3 linked regions of the Bombyx mori genome follow. The protein of the gene in region 3 interacts with the protein of the main gene of each other region in a biochemical or structural test. Links are inferred from orthologs where the notes say so. Each region holds a gene or a part of one and is shown on either strand. Other genes may lie near its edges.

Region 1 (4,242 bases), on a different chromosome or scaffold from region 3:
GTACTCAATATCCGAACAGCATAAAATTTGGTGTTTTTACTGTTTGAATAATTATGAATTAAAACACGCATTTTTGTACGCACAGTTATTAATATATTATTCTATTTTAATTCAATACAATATTACAAATCTAGGAATTAAATCTATGGAAACGTATTTTAATAGCGATATTGTGAATTTATATTCCGAGCGTCACGTGCAGCAGAGCGCTCTGTCCAGCCGCGCCACTCGCAGCTCAGCTCCAGCCGCACGGAGGATTCTAACTCAATTAACTTGGGGTAAGATTTTATTTAGTGACTCGACGTTCGCGAGGGAAGAGCTTCGGGAAGGAGATGGGGGAAGGGCAGCAGACTGTCCAGCGCACACTCAACGCAAGGATTTCAGTTTTTGCAGATACACATTAAATTATTAAAAAGTTCACCTACTACTTAAAGTTCAATTTTGCAAATATCTTAAAGTTCGCTCGTGTTGGACGAGTCCATTTGCGTGGTCTGATCGTTTGATCTCGGGACGGCTCATAACCGCTTCAGGATGCGGCGCTTGTCTGCGCGGGGGGGAGGCGCGGGGCGGCGCTTGGCGGGCGGCGCGGGCGCGTGCGCGGGCGCGGCGGCGGGCGCGTGCGCGGGCGCGGCGGCGGGCGCGGGGGCGGGGGCGCGGCTGCGAGTCGCGTGGATGTCGGTGAGCAGCTTGGCGCGCGCGAAGTAGTCGTCGTAGCGGTCGCGCAGTAGGGCGGCGGCCTCCGCGTTGAGTGCCGAGTCAGGGTTGGGCGCGATGAGCAGACAGCGCAGAGCGAGGAGCGCGTGCCGGAGCCCGAGCTCGGGGCGCCAGTCGCGTGCGAGCGTGTTGACGCAGACCTCGCCAGTCTCGGCGGCGACGTTGGGGTGGAAGACGCGGGTGACGAAGTATGCCCGCGGTGCGCTGGCGGGGAACTCGCGTCCGAGCACGAGTCGCACGCGGAACACGCCCCCTTCATACGGCGTCTCCGCTGAAATCATCAACTTTTGCATTAATTTAGTTGATACCCTTGAATCTGGTTTTTACTGGTGGTAGGACCTTATGTGAGTTCGCACGGGTAGATACCACCACCGCGCCTGTTTCTGCCGTGAAGCAGTAATGCGTTTTGACTTGAAGGGTGGGGCAGCCATTGTAACTATACTGAGACCTTACAACTTATATCTCAAGGTGGGTGGCGCATTTACATTGTAAATGTCTATGGGCTCCAGTAACTACTTAACACCAGGTGGGCTGTGAGCTCGTCCATGCATCAAAGCAATAAAAAAAATATTAAACCTCTGGCCATACTAAAATCTCATTTTACTTAACACAGCTTACAGCTTACAGCTTTAGATATAACAACTATATACAAAAATGCTCAAAAATATTTTGACACATTAATTCAATTAGAAAAAAAAAAGCATAAAAATCATACACATAAAAAAATGTGTATATGTATAATTTTTCCCTACTTATTGGCTAGTATCCTGTGGAGATATTCCAGCTTCTCGTGAACAGATAGGCGAGCTCACAGGCTCAACCTGAGAGAATTTGCTAGCACTAGACCTAGCAAGAACAGTGCTTTGAAACATTTACCACCAGATCAGAATTGCGACCTACTGAGAAGATCCAGCAAGATACTCAGTGGGCTGTGTATGGGTTAGTCGTAATCAACCGAGGAGGACTGGTGCTTGAGAGGCCTAAAAACACCTGACTTTCTCATTTTCTCTATCATTCTATAACTGCACAACTACTAAATATGTCGTCCTAAAACTAAACTTCTTTGGGATGATTTTGTTTTTCTCCAATAAAGGTAAGATGTAACATGACAACAGCTTTTTGAAAACTTTGAACATAACTGGCAGTGGTATATATTGAGAATTGGTTCACCTATCTGTGGCTTATATTGTGTGGTGTTCATTATGAAGGTATTTATTTATTGTTTAGTTTTAAAGAAAGTCCCATATGCAAAAAGAACACATCATACATTTCTTAAAATTATGACTTTTAGATAGTGTCAGATTCTCCTATTCCTCATCTCTTCAGAGGTCTAAATTATAAGTTAAACAAAGTTCTGACAATGTAATATCTGCAGCTGTTAATATATCTTTAGAAAGACCATGACTTCAAAGGACTCCATAATTATTGAATATCTAAAAGACGGGAGATGCAGATTGAAAAAAAATCATGTCCAAATTTTCCATACAAAATTGAGACATTGCAAGATATAAGTAATGACATTCAAAACAAAATAAATATCAAGCAGATAGCAAAAAATCGGTATAAATTGTAACTGTGACGTTGAATATTGAGATGTACTTCAATGTAACAAATCCAGACATTGCCATTGGACCATTTACCTTTCCACCTCTGATTTATTACATGACATGAGAAAGTAGATATGCCTTTTGTTTAACGAAATGTCACACCGGTTCTGGAGGTGAGGGCAGTATCATATTTGAATAGATTCTTACCGGGACCATCGATAAGCGCGACTATGTCAGATATGTCGTCGTCTCGCAGCTGCAGTTTGATGCCCGGCGGAGGATTAGCCGCCAGCTGTCGGAGTTCGCGTGCCACGCCACGCAACGCTTGAGGACATACGTTTTCCACGTTCGACATGCTTCTGCTTCTCCTTCTTTATGTCAGGCGCTCATAGCATTTGCTTGCGTTATTATCACCTTTTACACTAAAACGAAATGTCACTAAGTTTTTAGAATTTTTCTATTTGTTTTGAGAAGGAATTTCGAAATATTAATCTCTTTCTACAACAGAGCATGCAATTTTTATTATTCAGAAAAATGTTCACTACTTATCAAATTTGATTTCGAGTTGATCTATCAAAATTTTCAAAATTCAAAACATAAAACTGCATTTTTTTTATTAGCCTGCCCAATTAGGCAAAGGTAGCTTTAACTATTCCTATAACATTCATTCCACAATGCGCTAAAATTTTTAATGGGTCGTCACACTGTGTTCTTAATTAAAACTAAATATTTACGTATAAAATTCCATATATTAAATCACAGATGTGATGCTAATTTATCTTACTGTTCCTTACTACCACATACTATAGAGATATTATGACATAAGTGAAAGGTGCTATAAATACTAAGCTACCTATGTTCAATAATCTTGACCGATCTTACTTTTTGTTACTATATCTTTGGGGAATATTTTTATTTATTTATTTATCTAATTTGCAAGTTCGCAAAATTGGGAAATAAATTAAAAATCGCTGATTTGTACTAATTATCTACATGAACATTTTATAAATCGAAACTGGCAACAATTAATTGTTTCATCGACTTTTTAGAGAGAGGGCAAAATATGTGAATTGATTTATTTTGTTAATTTATCGTTCATTCAGATGTAATGGTCCTTAACTTTCCTAATGGTGGCTTACTTATGATTTAATATCAGTTGAAGTACATGTAGAAATGCGTGAAATGAAACAAAATCGCTAAACGTAGATTCGCGGCAACTTCCAAAAACTCCATTGAGCTCAGTAAATTCTGAAAGGTGATTTCAATTCATCTCAATGGACACTTAAGGGTGTTATATCTCACTTCAATTAATATTTTTCATTCGCTCACTTCCTTTATAATTATATTCCTTAATCATGTTTATTTTCTATTATCTAATACTAGCGACCCGCCCTCGCTTCGCTTCGGAAACATTAAAACACACATGAAACCAAAAAAATAAATAAAAAATAAAATAAAAAAGTAGCCTATGTTCATCAGGGACAATGTCGGCTTCTAATGGAAAAAGAATTTTTCAAATCGGTCCAGTAGTTTCGGAGCCTATTCGAAACAAACAAACAAACAAATCTTTCCTCTTTATAATATTAGTATAGATTTTCTTCGACTTCACGTGTGGTAGACACATTTGAAACTCAACGTCTTTTCACAATTTTTTTTTTATTGTAGTTTTATTATTTCCGGCGCTACGTACAGGTAATTTACAGTTGTAGTTCTCATGGATGACTTAGTCTTCTCTTAGACGTTAGAAGTAATCGTTAGTGTTCGTGATTAAGTCATAAAGTACGGTAGTCTAATTATTGCCAGAGTATGTTACATTTAACTTTTAGCAAAATAAATTTTAATATGACTTTTCTAACAAACCATTTGGTCGTGTGGGTATTTTATTTGTTCAGAGGCGAATCCAACAAACTCAAAAGTACATTCCTTATCTAGGAACGTCCACATCAGAGTTTTGTTTTGTGCACGGGGGTATTAACAGGTC
Region 2 (4,151 bases), on a different chromosome or scaffold from region 3:
AACATGCTGTTCTAGTTAAACTCGCGGTCTTCCCGATCTTCGTAAGAAGTCTTTAAAGTCTCATGCAATTATTATATTTTAGCCTGCAATGAAGACGAGCGTAACAGCAAGGTGGTGACAGTCGCCAGTGTCTACTACACGATCAGATTCGCAAACCCCTGAGAATATTATGCTTGAAACTCGGCACAGCCGCGGCCTGAAGTTATAGGCCACCTAAATCTCATGCCGAACTCTTCGACGAGCTCAACGAGCATCTACAGTTAATTGCCATTATTTATATTAAGACAATGTGTTAATTTTTAAACATAGAAAGCGAAAGATATAGAGATTTGTATAATAATATAGTTAATAAATACTAATCTAATTATAAGTTTACATTTATTCGTTGGTTAGTCGTCGCTCAAGCTAACCATTAACTGAAGTTAGTATAATTTAAGTCTAGCTGTAGCCATGGGCTTTGAGTAGCTCCTTCACTTTGAAGTAGAAACTCACTTTCCCACCAAAATATGAATAAACAAAAACGCGCCATGTTGTTCGGATTACCGCCTCCACTACAGATATTTTTGTACTTTATAGTTGGAGGAATTCACAGCTCACTCAAAACCCATAAGCACCCGACGTGAATGCCACTCTACCCAGCTTGGAATACTTACAATTGTGTTGTAGAGTTGCTATCCCATTTCAAACCAAGACACATCATGACTTAAATAGCTAGGGATTATCATGACTCAAATAGCAGGTAGCTATCCGTGCAGGCTCACTCTCTACGTACCAGTAATTACGAAGACTAGGTAATGATAAAATGAAATGAGATATGTAATTAATAAGATGAAATAATAAAATGTTTCAAAATGAAATTGTCTAGTAAACTAATCGAATATTACTCTGGCTAATCTTAATTTTTCATTTGGACATATTTATCTAAACTTAAACAGAACAAACAAACAGAACTAAAAAAATCAATACCTACCTAATCGCCTCTTTTATTCTAGTAATCCTATTTAAAATAGCATACAGGTACTATTACATTTAAAATGCGCAAACAATTTTTTAACTTTATCGGGCACATTGTATTAGGCAAAAATTAATACGTTTAAAATTTCATCGTCACATAAAAAGTACTAGGCCAAATTTAAAAAAGCGGGTAAATGAAATCTAAATTTTGAAAGCGATTATCATTTTGAAATTATTTGTGACATGAAATTATTTTATCCACATGTTATAGTATATTCGGATAATCTTATGTTTAAAACTATAATGTTCAGTTATTTATCTTGATTTGACCTATTTAACATATTTATTATGGTTTATTTCAGACCACCTTCTAACATATTCGAGATTAGTGTAAATCAGCATTAAATTATTTTTTCAATTGACCGTGTAGATGGCGCTTTTTAATACGTCAATCAAACAAAGGCCGCCATTACATTGCACTGTCAAATAACGAGATTACCAATAAAATCGTAGCTATTTCAAATTCAACAGGAAGTTGACGACGATTAACTGAAAAATTGGTGTCCCTTGCTATTTTAAGAAAGTGTTCATTTGATTTCCTTAAAATATTATGGCTCAAAACATCAATCCACATTACGCGTCGTCTTCGAACCCAGCTAAGCAGAGTGAAGACACGATTAAACTAAAAGACAATCATGCTGTGAGCAAACGGTGAGTTTTATTATTTTTACCACAACTTTTTCGTAATACCACGGCAAACACCCACGTAGACAACATACAATACAATTAGACTTGCGCAAAACATCACTTCCCAATGTAATGTGATATGACATCACTTTTACAGATAGGTGATATTACTCGAAAACATTACACATCACTCTTAACATTACTCGGTGCGTTCAAAGTGATGTGTATAAACACATCACTTAGGTAATGATTCGGGTGTATAGATACAATGTATTCGTCGTCACAGTATCTATTGAACGCACCGAGTAATGTTAAGAGTGATGTGTAATGTTTTCATCAATCATTACCTAAGTGATGTGTATAAACACATCACTTAGGTAATGATTCGGGTGTGTCATTACAATAGTGTATTACAATACAAAGTATGAACTTTGTATTGTAATACACTGTTATATTACTTGACAGATTGACTTACTTAATAATATAATAATTTTATTTTTTACTTAATATAATTTATTGTGGGATGAACGGATTTCATATGGCGACTTAGACTGCAAATTGAGCTCGACAATAATGTTAATATACGAGAGCAGTAGATGCATTGTTTCGGTGCGATATCCTCAAAAATATCCTCAAAAATCCAAGGAGGACTGTACTTTCATCTAAATGAACGTACGTCTAAACGCCGTTATTTCTTTCACTTATTAAACACGCATTAAAACAAATAATAAAACTATCTTCAAACAAGTGCTTAAGTAATTCAAATCAAACACAAAAATTAATATGAAATATTACTAAACAATTACGAGCGACTAGCGATTTTACAAAAGTTGCGAATAAAAAATTAAGTAAGTACTTGCGGGGAGCTACCGGCTGGCCGCATGAAAAATATAAACACAAATACCTATATTAAAATTCAGACGTACCATAGGTATAAAAATGTACCTAGCGGCCAGGACATATGGTTCAAAATCACTAGGAATAATTCCGTGTCGCTTGCTCATTTATTTTGCGTCGATCGGTCTGTCTCGCTCGCTCGGTTCCGTTCGTGTATTACACGACAAAGAAAGAAACATGTTGGGTGATAGTGTGATGTTTGTTTCCTTCGCGTAATGTGTGATGTTGCATTACATCGTAGAGTAATATTACCCGAGTAATATCACTCGCATTACTTACACATGTCTAAATACAATATATTTTGGTCCTTAGTATCGAAGTAGCGATTTGTGTCTAACGGTTTTTTTCCCACGAAAAAGTCTCGATTATTCTGTTCACTTGCATTATTGTTGGTTTGGGCTGTTTTAAGCACATTATGTAAATGATCATTTAGTGCATGTAATACAAAAGCGCCGAAAAAGTAAAAACCAAATAAAACTATTACACTTTACATAATGTGGTAAATTTAAAAGCACAGTTTTTAGCAGGTATAGGCATTCTCATTGGTTAAAGCGATAATTTTACAATAATTAATGTTCAGTAGGTAGGAATAAGTAAACTTTTTAAAAAGGTTTGTTAATTAGTCACCTTTTCTACATTAAATAGCATCAAGAGCCTTAGACCTTTAGACGCTTTCTAATTTGTGAGATTCTTAAATGTAAATTGTTTATATAGAATTACTTCTCTAGAACAATTACTACCATGTGAATGAATATACCTCCACCCAGAAAATATTGCAAGTGATATAAAATTTACACTCACACTACAACATCAGTCATTCCACATATGGCAGCATCCTATTTACCAAACAATAATTCTGCAAAAACAGAAATTTTATGTCATTACTGGTCAACTAACATTTCATTAGAAATGTTTCAAAGACTCACTACTTAATTAATAAACCTGCTATTAGATTAATGCACTTAAAAAAAACACTATATGCCATTACTTTTGTGTTATAATTTGCATAATTCAACTCATTTTATATTTCTTTTTAATAGACTCCAGAAAGAGCTAATGGAGCTAATGCGGTGCAGTGATAAAGGAATATCAGCATTCCCTGAAAGTGAAAACCTCTTCAAATGGATCGGGACCATCAATGGACCTTTAGAAACTGTATACGCAGGCCACAAATACAAATTATCACTTGAATTTCCAAATTCATACCCGTACGCACCACCTGTTGTCAAATTTATGACTCCGTGTTTTCATCCAAATGTTGACACGTGTGGTTTAATATGTTTAGATATTTTAAAAGATAAGTGGACGGCTTTATATGATGTACGTACAGTATTGTTGTCAATCCAAAGTCTTTTAGCAGAACCAAATACACAAAGCCCTTTAAACCAGCAAGCATCATATCTATGGCCGAACCAAGCTGCCTATAAAAAATATTTAGATGAATTTTACAATAAACATAAAGACTCATAGTCTGTTTTAGAGATTATAAGTGTGTTTTATTTTTCGTTGTAATATTTTTGTGTCGTGGATATTTCAGATTGTGACTGTTGAGGGTTGGTTGGGCTCAGGTTTTGTCTGCTTAGACACTGCAGTCTTGCAAAAAAACTTAATTT
Region 3 (3,993 bases):
CAAAGCCTTATAAGAGATATTATCCCTTAATATTAAAAACAGCAATTAGGAAATTTTCTATTTGGGAATAAGTCTTTAGTTGAAATAGCTAAGCAATTTAATATAAGTAAGTCAATTTTGCACAGACATGTAATAAGAACAATGAAATCTCAAGGTGGACAAAAATGTCTAAGTAATACATAATAAAATATTTATTATTTGTTCAGAGTGTCCGTTTTTTAATGTTTTTTATTGATGATCACTTTGTTGGTGCAACTAAATAAATAAATTAAAACCAAGTAGTGCCCACCCTAGCAAATTTCTCATTTCGTCCCAATTAACCGCAATTTCCGGGTAAATAGGGATTACACCTATTTTTGCTTTTTTTGCTTAAACTGGAATGCTAGTTGCATAGTTTTAAATTGGACAACAAAGATGCTCCCAAGACTCAATCATTTTGATCCTGATATAGCATTATATACATCAACAACTACCTTAAAATTGGTCATAAAGATGGAATTTGTCCCTAATCGCCCCATTTTACCGGTACTTGCGTATTTCAAGTTGCTTCCGCTTGCAGTTCTTTCACTGAAGTTCCAGTACATGTGTAATTTCTATTTTTAGTATTGTTTAAAAGTGATTTATTAAAGACCTTGTTTAGTTTTTAGTTCTTTTTATTTCAAATGATTTTTAGTAGTTTAATTGAGTTTGGTAATTTTTTTTTATTTCACTTAACATCATTTCAAAATATGGTACTCGTTTATGACTTCGTTTCATGTATCGATCCCCGTGCCTATCAGATTTTGAAATAAAATAATAAAAATTACACTTTGAAAATTTTCGAATTAACATCTGACAATTTTTTTAGCGGGAACGCAAGGCGCTAAGTTCTGTTAATTTTGTTAAAGTAGTGCTCATGTTTAAACGTGTAATAACGGTGATTATTACACTATTATTATACTATATTACATTATTAACTGTTTAGTATCTCTGAAGGTGCACAAATGTGGGAAAATGAAACAAATTCGCTGGACGTAGCTTCTCAAAAGCTTCCAAAAAGTCTTGGTGCATAACCACCACTCCACTGAGACTATATTTCATCACATCTCATCTCATTTCATTAACATCCTAATTGATTTACTGTCTCAAATTAATAAACTTCATCTCATTTCGCTCTATGGTTTTTCAAAACACAGAATTCACAGAATACACAAAAAATACGCTGTATGGTGTGATACCTTCGTTTTTCCAGTTCAAAAAATAAAGTAGCCGATAAGACTGACATATGACTGACATTAAAAACAAATTTATTTGATCTTACTTGATTTTACTTCAGTGGTTAGATTAATAAAATAAACATTATATTTTTAAAATTAGCACATAAACTTAAAGGCAAATGATAAATACTGAAAAAAATTTGTTCAGTCAACATATTATATCATAAAAATCGTTAATTTAATTATGAAGGATCTTAAGGTTAAATAAATCTAAAACTTCTATTTTAGCCTCATGATCGCGCTATGAAAGTAACTGTAAAAAGTAAGCACAATCTCTTTTTTTCATAATGTTTATTTTCCCTGGTTAATTTACACTTTATTCTTTGCAACTTAAAACACACTGACATTAAAGTAAATTAAGTAGTAATTTTTGCTAAGTGCCTTATTGTCATAGAGCACAATTCTTAAAAATTCCTCATACAAGGAAGAACCGATTGAAATTGAAATATTCACAGTAACGAGATAATTCATTTTAGGTTGGACAGGGGTTGCAACTTGGAGGTGGGTAGCAAACGACGACAATTGTGGGATTTGTCGTATGCCATTTGATAGCTGCTGTCCAGACTGCAAACTACCTGGGGACGACTGCCCTCTAGTTTGGGGTGCTTGCTCTCACTGTTTCCACATTCACTGTATCGTAAAGTGGCTACACTCTCAGCCTCAACAGCAGTGTCCTATGTGCAGACAAGACTGGAAGTTCAATAACAAGTGAAATATTCGTAAGTACATACCATAAATTAAGAAAATATAGTTTAAATAATAAATAAATATAGGTTTTTATTCTCACACTTTATTGTGTCACTGCTGTCCCATTTTGTAACTATATTTTGTTTACCAACCTATAAGGCTAGAATAATTTGGAAAAATTTATTGTTTGGTGTTTTCAAACTCAATAAGTAGTTAAATGGTTCGATGATTATAGAGTCACAAATCCTTATTAGTCATTTTTAGTTTAGTGATAACAAGTTTAAATCTCACCTTAACTTATTAATCAGGTGGTATGTAGTATAGAATATAGGGATTGATCTGCACATAATAGCAACTTTTATTATTAATGTCAGAATAATGCAAATCTAACATAAATGAAGTTGACAATATCACAACATTTTTCTTTCTTTGAAGCTTTGATTACGGAGTTCTACAGTTTCCTTCCTTTCATAATTCAGCAGAGTACTAAGTTTTAAAGACAAAAGGTTGCTACTATGCTAGTACAGATTAAATATTATTAAAGTTTTCTGTGAATTGTTGTACAAGGGATTGTCAAAAATATCATAATAACGAGGGGTGAAAGGTTATTATTTGGTTTAAGAGATAATATTCGATATTTATCTTTGTAATTAAAGGTGCATTTTATTTGATGTCAGTATAATTTTTTAATTGAACTTTAATTAAGCTAAAGAAGTTTTTTTTTTATTATGTTTTTTTTTTCAAATTTTAAACTTTAAATGGCTCTGCTATAAAGCTGCAAAAATGTCGCTCAAATCAAATAGCCTTTCACCCCGATATGAACTACTGATAAATTTAGATGTGTTGGTGAAATTAGCCTACCTTATGTTCTTTTTTTTTTTATTGCCCCTGTGGGCATACGGCCCACCTGATGGTGAGTGGTTACCGTCGCCCATGGACCTCAGCAATGCTAGGGGCAGAGCCAAGCCGCTGCCTACTGCTAAAATTTTCACTGCTTTTCCATTATTTGTATTTGGGCAGGGATTAGATGCAGTGTAGTTCGACTCCCACAACCTGAATTTGTTCAAACCACTCTGAAATTATAAATATTAGGTAATGATTATTAACAAAACATCTGTAGTGATAGAAAACAATCTCTGGAAAAATATTCTATAAGGATTCTGGATGATTTGCCTTTGGCACCAAATAATTTGGTCAAAGGGCAAATTATCTCTCCCAAAAAAACCAAAATACTGGGATACTCTTAAAATATAATCTTTATATACAGTATTTATAATATACTTTTTTACTGGGCATCGTTTCTGCCTGCACTGATAGTGACCACCATCCTACATATTTTTGCTGTGAAGCAGTAAAATGTAAACATTTGATGTGTGGAGCAGCCGATGTACTGTAAAAACTGACTTAGAAGTCATGTCACAGAATGGGTTGTGACAACTCATTAATCTCTCAGCAAAAATTAACTGTGAACCTTGCTGTCTATTCTTCGAGTTGCCTTTCGCAAAACTCACGAGAAGAGAGTGGATGCCATTCTAGGCCCTCTGGAGCTTAGTGTGCTGCATGCCGACATCGGTGTGTTTATAAACCAAAAAGGTCCCACATATTGCTTAACAGCACTTCAAAGAAATGTGATCAAAGCTGAAGTCCTGACAGGATACGTTGATGGCAAGCAATTTTTTTTGCCCCGAAATCGTCCTTTTAATTTTTTTAATTTTTCTTGTTGCTTCGATGGGTGGACGAGCTCACAGCCCACCTGATGTTAAGTGGTTATTGGAGCCCATAGACATCTACAAACTAAATACGCCACCCACGTTGAGATATAAGTTCTAAGGTCTCAGTATAGTTACAACGGCTGCCCCACCCTTCAAGCCGAAACGCATTACTGTTTCATGGCAGAAATAGGCGAAGTAGTGGTACCTACCCGCGCGGACTCACAAGAGGTCCTACCACCTACTTAATCAAATATCATTTAGTTTCAAACGCGTAATTTTTGTTTGGCAATGACGCGTAAATAATACACGCGGGGGTAGACATCTACCAGCTGCTTCGC

The links.
Region 1: the proteins of anaphase promoting complex subunit 11 (region 3) and ubiquitin-conjugating enzyme E2 S form a complex in vitro, tested with the Homo sapiens proteins (31 studies listed by BioGRID). The link is inferred for Bombyx mori from reciprocal best matches to the Homo sapiens genes ANAPC11 and UBE2S.
Region 2: the proteins of anaphase promoting complex subunit 11 (region 3) and ubiquitin-conjugating enzyme E2 C form a complex in vitro, tested with the Homo sapiens proteins (66 studies listed by BioGRID). The link is inferred for Bombyx mori from reciprocal best matches to the Homo sapiens genes ANAPC11 and UBE2C.

Annotation. Positions count from the first base shown.
Region 1 is NC_085116.1:176,371-180,612, reverse strand, and holds ubiquitin-conjugating enzyme E2 S, read right to left. Parts: upstream 2,942-4,242; 5' UTR 2,807-2,941; exon of another isoform or gene 2,684-2,806; 5' UTR 2,617-2,683; coding exon 2,469-2,616; intron 986-2,468; coding exon 516-985; 3' UTR 71-515; downstream 1-70. UniProt on the Homo sapiens protein: Accepts ubiquitin from the E1 complex and catalyzes its covalent attachment to other proteins. Catalyzes 'Lys-11'-linked polyubiquitination.
Region 2 is NC_085126.1:12,142,667-12,146,817, reverse strand, and holds the start of ubiquitin-conjugating enzyme E2 C, read left to right. Parts: upstream 1-1,319; 5' UTR 1,320-1,564; coding exon 1,565-1,665; intron 1,666-3,578; coding exon 3,579-4,008; 3' UTR 4,009-4,151. UniProt on the Homo sapiens protein: Accepts ubiquitin from the E1 complex and catalyzes its covalent attachment to other proteins. In vitro catalyzes 'Lys-11'- and 'Lys-48'-linked polyubiquitination.
Region 3 is NC_085118.1:13,747,324-13,751,316, forward strand, and holds the start of anaphase promoting complex subunit 11, read left to right. Parts: upstream 1-1,317; 5' UTR 1,318-1,499; coding exon 1,500-1,518; intron 1,519-1,528; exon of another isoform or gene 1,529-1,732; coding exon 1,733-1,968; 3' UTR 1,969-1,975; exon of another isoform or gene 1,976-3,016; intron 3,017-3,993. UniProt on the Homo sapiens protein: Together with the cullin protein ANAPC2, constitutes the catalytic component of the anaphase promoting complex/cyclosome (APC/C), a cell cycle-regulated E3 ubiquitin ligase that controls progression through mitosis and the G1 phase of the cell cycle.